Linked DNA regions of Macaca fascicularis. The protein of the gene in region 1 interacts with the protein of each later gene in a pairwise test. Links are inferred from orthologs where the notes say so. Each region holds a gene or a part of one and is shown in the gene's direction. Other genes may lie near its edges.

Evidence for each region.
Region 2: the proteins of SAR1A (region 1) and SLC38A7 interact in binary tests that used the Homo sapiens proteins (3 or more experiments, as listed by UniProt). The link is inferred for Macaca fascicularis from reciprocal best matches to the Homo sapiens genes SAR1A and SLC38A7.

What each region holds. Positions count from the first base shown.
Region 1 is NC_088383.1:76,255,082-76,258,829, forward strand, and holds the start of SAR1A (small COPII coat GTPase SAR1A), read left to right. Parts: upstream 1-1,406; 5' UTR 1,407-1,445; exon of another isoform or gene 1,446-1,508; intron 1,509-3,748. UniProt on the Homo sapiens protein: Small GTPase that cycles between an active GTP-bound and an inactive GDP-bound state and mainly functions in vesicle-mediated endoplasmic reticulum (ER) to Golgi transport.
Region 2 is NC_088394.1:54,780,609-54,784,256, reverse strand, and holds part of SLC38A7 (sodium-coupled neutral amino acid transporter 7), read left to right. Parts: intron 1-1,246; coding exon 1,247-1,446; intron 1,447-2,395; coding exon 2,396-2,450; intron 2,451-3,648. UniProt on the Homo sapiens protein: Symporter that selectively cotransports sodium ions and amino acids, such as L-glutamine and L-asparagine from the lysosome into the cytoplasm and may participates in mTORC1 activation. The transport activity requires an acidic lysosomal lumen.

The sequences.
Region 1 (3,748 bases):
CTACTTTAGTTTTATTTCTGCATGTACTTTAGTCTATTTCTGTGCTTTTCTCTGTTCCATTGTGTTTTGTGTGTGTGTGTTTCTGTGTGTGTGTGCACACCAGCTCTATAATATGTTTTAATATCCAACAGGGTTAGTTCCCACCTCCTGGTTCTTCATTTTGAGAGCCTGTTTCTGGACTAGCCTTGTTTGGTTTTCTACACGAATTTTAGGAACAAATAGGGTAATTAAAAAAAAAAACAAAAAAACTAAACCACACACAATCTATTAATCCTATTAGTACTTTTATTGGGATTATGTTAAATTTAAATTTTACTTAAGGAGAATTGAGATCATGAATCCACAGACGTCATTCATCTTTCCATTAGACTGTTTCATTTGTAAAATGAGAGCAATAATAGTACCAATCTCGTATCACTGTCCTGAGAATTAAATGAGAAAATGCATGCGAAATATACTGGGGTGAACACGTTGCTTTGCCACTTAGCTGTGTGAACTTGGGTGTGGTAGGTTATTCTGAACATTGCTCTCTCATTTGTTAATAAGGATAATCCTAGCATCTGCTTCACAGGACTCCAATGAGGGTGAAATTAGACAAAGCGCGCAAATCACCCAGTGCTCTGCCTGAAACATAAGTGCACAATAAATATTAGCTGTTTTTCTAAAACGTAGGCCATCCCAGGGCAAGGAAGTGCAACTCAAAGCAAAAGCATTAGGGTGCGGTGGCCCACGCCTCTCATTCCAGCACTTTGGAAGGCCGAGGCCGGCATATCACTTAAGGTCAGGAGTTCGAGACTAGCCTGGCCAACACGGTGAAACCCCGTCTCTACAAAAATACAAAAAATTAGCCGGGTGTGGTGACATGCGCCTGTAATCCCAGCTACTCGGGAGGCGGACGCATCAGAATCGCTTGAATTCGGGAGGTGGAGGTTGCAGTGAGCCGACATCGCGCCACTGCACTCCAGCCTGGGTGACAAAGTGAGACTCCGTTTCAAAAAAAAAAAAAAAAAAAAAAGCAAGAAAAAAAAAGCAAAAGCTTGGAGGGATCCACCTCAAGTGGAGGTCCCCAAGGTCAAGTAATCTTTCCCAGGACCTATGCCACCGTCGGTCCCCACTTCCTACTTTTTTCCTGGTGCGTCTGGAATGGGAAGCCGCGATTCCGAGGGTCCCAGGCCGCTCAGGGACTCCAGGACCCAGACCCAGACCCAGCGTCCCGGTACTGCCACGTCTCGCGCGGTCAGCTCGGCAGGCGGGAGCTGGCGGGACGTGGCGCGCGCTTTGTCAGGCCTTATGCCCGCCCCTCCGCGGCCGGAGTAGCAGGTGGGCAGGCACCGGGGCAGAGAGGCGTAACGCTGCGAGGGGGCGGGGCCAATTACGCGCCCGGAAGTCCCGGGGAGGGATGTGACGTACATCCGGCGAGTAGCTGGCGGTCCCGGGTGTTGCTGGTTAGTGTGCTCTGAGGGAGGGTCGGAGCCTGTCGCCGTTTTGCCCGAGGAGCCCCTCAGGCCGTGAGTCTGAGGGCCGCGTCGGGGAGGGTAGTTGGAGCTCGAGGGGCTGGGACGGAAGGCGGGGAGGTCGGAGCGGAGGCTGGCCCTGGCGGGGTTGGGGGCGGGGAAGTGACACGCAGGCGGTTCTGTGGGGCCGCCGGCTGATTCTGGGCGGGGACGGGCCGAGTCGGCCGGATTTGCTCAGTCCCCTGCTGTCCTCTTTGGCCTGGGGTCCACCTGCATTCCGCTCGGGGGTCTCGCAGCTGCTGGGCCGGATAACAGCTTCTTGTCTGTACCGTGCCCTCCGGTTTACGAAACGGCTCCATGTCCTCTGTCTCAAAAGAGCCTCACAGCCCTCGGTGAGGCGGGTGGGACCTCTTGATCATTATCCTTGTTTTATAGACTCGGGGACTGAGGCTGGCCAAGGCTCCGCAGTTAGCGAGTGTGAGCGCTCGAACCTGGTCTACAGGCCCCTAGTCCGGGGCTTACACCCAAGTCAGCGCTCGGTTGTCGTCCGATGGCCCGGGTCGAACCCTGTATTTTCTCCTTCCACCTTCCCCTTTTCCCCTGTCTGGTCTCTGCATGGAAAAATTTCCTTATGTGCATTTGACATGGATTAGCGTTTTCTTCACGATTCTAGCCACTGGGTATCTTTATCTTGATTCCATCTGCTTCTGTTGCGACAGGGGGCTTAGGGAGATTTGCCATGGGGCTGACCTTTGACATTTACCCCGCAGCTAAGCAGCGTTAGCTAAAAGCCAGCCGCCTACTACCCCAAATCTGCCTGGAATGGCGTCTTAAAGTTGCCCTGATTATGTATAACAAGTAATGCGTAAATTTTTAAATTGGCTAATGGTCAGATTGGTGCACTTCCTTTTCTATTAACTTTTGTTTGAATCTTTTAGCTCTGGAATTCACAAGTTTTCATTTTAGGTACATTAATAGTGTTTTGTTGATAGTTTAGAGACCTACCTTAAATTTTAGATTACTCTTAACTTTTCGTAAGGTGGTACAATGGACCAAGAATAGAAAATAAATAGAATGCTAGTTATTAAAATACCATTCAAAAGATGTGATGAATTGTAAGGAAGAGAACTTAGGAAGATCATCCTCTGTGTAGTTGGTGGGTTAAAGAAATTTTAGGTTTTTTTTTTTTTTCCAGCAATTTTGTGATTTGGGTTTGAATTTTATGTACTGTTAACAGGAAGAGCTTAGGCTTTGGTGTTAGAGATGAGGGTTTAAGCACTGGCACTATTAGTTTTTCAGCTGAGCAGTCTTCAACTACTCAGCAAAACTAGGAGTATCTTCATCTTCATCTTGTTAAATGAGGCCAATGATCCTTGCCTGGTAGGGTTGGTGTGAGGATGAAATGAGATGTACAGGTACTGTACAAATTGTAAAACTACTGATGAGTTGGTACAAATCCTAAGATCTTAAGGAGAGAGGAGCCACCAAGGCCATTTTCAGCTACTGAGGAGGCTGAGGTGGGAGGATCTCTTGGGCCTGGGAGGTTGGGGGTGCAGTGAGCCATGATGGCAACACTGCACTTAAGCCTGGGAAGCAGAGTCTTGGTCTGTCTAAAAAAAAAAAGGGGGGCGGGGGCGTTTTCTTAATTTTGGGTGGTGGTACAACCCAACTCTTTGGATCTATTAAGGGTTTTTATTATTTTTAACTCACCTGAAGAGTTTCTTTAGTCAGCCTCCACTCTGGTCACTTCTTTACAATCCAACACTTCTGTATACATTTGTACTACACGGGTTTTCAGTCAGTACTTTACAGACTTGTAAACAATATTTACATCACTTTAGAAATATTTTATTTCTTTTTCTTTTTTTTTTTTTTTTTTGAGATGGAGTTTTTGGTCTTGTTGTCCAGATGGAGTGCAATGTCGTGACCTCGGCTCCCTGCAACCTCTGCCTCCTGGGTTCAAGAGATTCTCCTGCCTCAACCTCCCGAGTAGCTGGGATTACAGGCGCCCGCCACCACACCTAGCTAATTTTTGTGTTTTAAGTAGAGACGGGGTTTCACCATGTTGGCCAGGCTGGTGTCGAACTCCTGACCTCAGGTCATCCACTCGCCTCGGCCTCCCAAAGTGCTGGGATTACAGTCATGAGCCAAGTATTTTCAACTAGATGAATTCTGCAAAGGTGAAAAGGAGAAAATGCCACACTTTAAATAGTTTTTCATGGCAATTGAACTACTTTAATTTTCCATTTTTTTTCCCTTTGACACTCCTGCTTTTAAGCCATCTCCTCCCTTGG
Region 2 (3,648 bases), on another chromosome or scaffold:
GCCGGGCGCGGTGGCTGAAGCCTGTAATCCCAGCACTTTGGGAGGCCGAGACGGGCGGATCACGAGGTCAGGAGATCGAGACCATCCTGGCTAACACAATGAAACCCCGTCTCTAGGCGCGGTGGCTCAAGCCTGTAATCCCAGCACTTTGGGAGGCCGAGACGGGCAGATCACGAGGCCAGGAGATCGAGAGACGATCCCGGCTAACACGGTGAAACCCCGTCTCTACTAAAAAATACAAAAAAACTAGCCGGGCGAGGTGGCGGGCGCCTATAGTCCCAGCTACTCGGGAGGCTGAGGCAGGAGAACGGCGTAAACCCAGGAGGCGGAGCTTGCAGTGAGCTGAGATCCGGCCACTGCACTCCAGCCTGGGTGACAGAGCAAGACTCCGTCTCAAAAAAAAAAAAAAAAAAAAAAAAAAAGAAACCCCGTCTCTACTAAAAATACAAAAAAATTAGCCGGGCGAGGTGGCGGGCGCCTGTAGTCCCAGCTACTCGGGAGGCTGAGGCAGGAGAATGGCGTAAACCCGGGAGGCGGAGCTTGCAGTGAGCCGAGATAGCGCCACTGCACTCCAGCCTGGGCGACAGAGCGAGACTCCGTCTCAAAAAAAAAAAAAGAATATCCAGGGCATGGCACGGTGGCTCATGTCTCTAATCCCAGCACTTTTGGAGGCTGAGGCAGAAGGATCACTTGAGCCCAGGAGTTCAAGACCACTTGGGCAACCTAGTGAGACCCCCATCTCTACACAAAATAAAATAAATAGCCAGGTGTGGTGGCATGCACCTGTGGTCCCAGCTACTCAGCCACTTGGGAGGCTGAGGCAGAAGGATGGCTGGAGCCCAGGAGTTCAAGGCTGCAGTGAGCCAAGATTGCACCACCGCACTCCAGCCTGGGTGAGAGAGCCAGACCCTGTCTCAGAAAAAAACAAAAGAATCTCTATCCAGATCCTTTCCTGAGCTTTCACGTGGACACCCTGCCCTTTGCATACCCCAGAGAGTTCCTTTTAAGGAAAAAACTATATCAGTTTCCATGTGATGTAAAGCAAAGTGCTAAGCTCTCCACATTCACCATCTCTAGTCCCCGTGGTAAACAGAGTGCTGGTGGCCCATTTTACAGAAGAGGAAACTGAGGCTCAGGAATGGGGCTTTCCCTGCCGTCTACCCAATTAGGAGTCTGGCTCCTGTGAGCTAGAGGTGGGAGGCTGCTAGCGGCAGGAGCACCTCTAAGCCCCTCTCCATGTGGGCAGGGCGGTGGTGGAAGGCCTGTGGCTGCGCTACCAGGGGGTGCCAGTGGAGGAGGACGTGGGGCGGGAGCGGCGGCGGCGAGTGCTGCAGACGCTGGTCTGGTTCCTGCTCACCCTGCTGCTGGCGCTCTTCATCCCTGACATCGGCAAGGTGATCTCAGTCATTGGAGGCCTGGCCGCCTGCTTCATCTTCGTCTTCCCAGGTGCGGACCCCTGGCGCCCCATCACAGCCCCACAGCACAGACTCCCAGGGCCTCCCTAGCCTCTGCTCCCTACTTAATCCAAACATGCAGGAGAGAGTAACCACCATCACTGACTAATCAACTGCCTCGCCTCTGTGATGGCCCCTGTCCAAGCATTATCTCCTGGAAAGAAGGTGTAGTTGTGATCTCCAGTTTACCTGGAAAGAAGGTGTAGTTGTGATCTCCAGTTTACCTGGAAAGAAGGTGTAGTTGTGATCTCCAGTTTACTGATGGCACGTGGGGCTCAGAAAGGGTCACAGACTTGCCTAGAGCTTAACAAACTCGACTAGTAACAAACCTTTTCCATCCCACACTGTCTGGGTTCAGAGTCTGTTCTCTTAACCATTCATTCAGGTGTCTGCTGCTCCCTAACTGAGGGATCTGTCTGGCTGGTTCAGCCCATTACAGCCCAGAGAGCAGTAGGGTCTAGGGGTGACACCCTGACACAGACATCAGAGGACCTGGGTTCCAGACACAGATCTACCACCAGATCCCTGGAGAAGTGTCCTGTTGGCCCAGCCATGAGTTCTACCCTTACCCAACTTGTCTTTATCCAGGAAGCCACCCTCAAAGCCCCAGCTACTTTGCTGGAGCAGGGGAGCCAGATCTGCTCGGAAGTGTACTGGGAAGACCCCTGGGGTTGGGCCACCACTGAGTCACCATTGAGTGCTGTCCCTTTAGCTCTGAGTCTAGCATGCTGCCCAAGGGATCTTATCAGATGCTGGCCTGTCATGGGAGAGCAGATGCCAGACGTCCTCAGGTGGATGTGGCATGGGGGCAGAGATGGAATTTCTAGAAGAGTAAACATGGGCCTTTCTCCATCCAGCACTGCTTCTTGGGAAAGGGGAAGGTTAGGAGGGAGGGAGCCCTCTCCCCTCACGAATGCTCAGGGCCACTTCTTCTCTTCTAGGGCTGTGCCTCATTCAAGCCAAACTCTCCGAGATGGAAGAGGTCAAACCAGCCAGGTAAAGCAGGGCCCAGTCCTTGATCCTCTCAGGGAGGCACTGGATTGGAACATGGCTTTGTGGGGGCCTTAAAACAGATAGGAGTCAGAGGCTTGTGTACTTAGAAATCATGGGTTTGGTTTTGTTTTGTTTTTGAGACGGAGTCTCGCCCTGTCGCCCAGGCTGGAGTGCAGTGGCACAGTCTCGGCTCACTGCAAGCTCCGCCTCCCAGGTTCATGTCATTCTCCTGCCTCAGCTTCCCGAGTAGCTGGGACTACAGATGCCCGCCACCACACCCAGCTAATTTTTGTATTTTTAGTAGAGATAAGATTTCACCATGTTGGCCAGGCTGGTCTCGAACTCCTGACCTTAGGTGATCCTCCTTCCTTGGCCTCCCAAAGTGCTGGCATTACAGGTGTGAGCCACCACACCCAGCTGGGTTTTTTGTTTTTTTTTTTTTTAATACTTTAAAAATTGGGTAGTGTGCTAGGTGTTAACAATTTGAACATTAATAAAGGGCTTAATAGAAAAAGATGGAAGTCCCAGTTCCCCCACAACCCACTCGCCCCCACATCCCTTCTCCTGAGATAGCTCCATGTTACCAGTACGGTCTGTGTCCTTCTCAACCACTTGTGTACATGTGTGCATGTCTGTGTACACATAGCTATGCAGATGTATATACAGTTGCAGGGCATTTGTTTTGTTTTATGAAAAATGATTTCAGCCTGGTGCAGTGGCTCACACCTGTAATCCCAACACTCTGGGAGGCCAAGGCAGGTGGATCACCTGAGGTCAGGAGTTCAAGACCAGGCTGGCCAATGTGGTGAAACCACGTCTCTACTAAAAATACAAAAAAAATTACCTGTGCATAGTGGTGGCCACCTGTAGTCCCAGCTACTCGGGAGGCTGAGGCAGGAGACTCGCTTGAACCTGGGAGGAGGAGGTTGCGGTGAACCAAGATCGCACCATTGCACTCTAGCCTGGTGACAAAGTGAACCTCTATCTCAAAAAAAAAAAATGATTTCAGGTTCAGGTTTCGCTTTCCTGTTCTAGTCCCGTTGTTCCAGTTTCTAGTCAGATCTCCACCCCTTACAGTCCCATACCACGTTCAAACAGGTTTTGTTAAAGCTCTTATCCCACCTTTCTCAGCCTATACCCCCACTGCCTCAGACCCAGACCCCGCCTCCCCAGCTCCTATAATTTGTCCCACAGCCTCTCT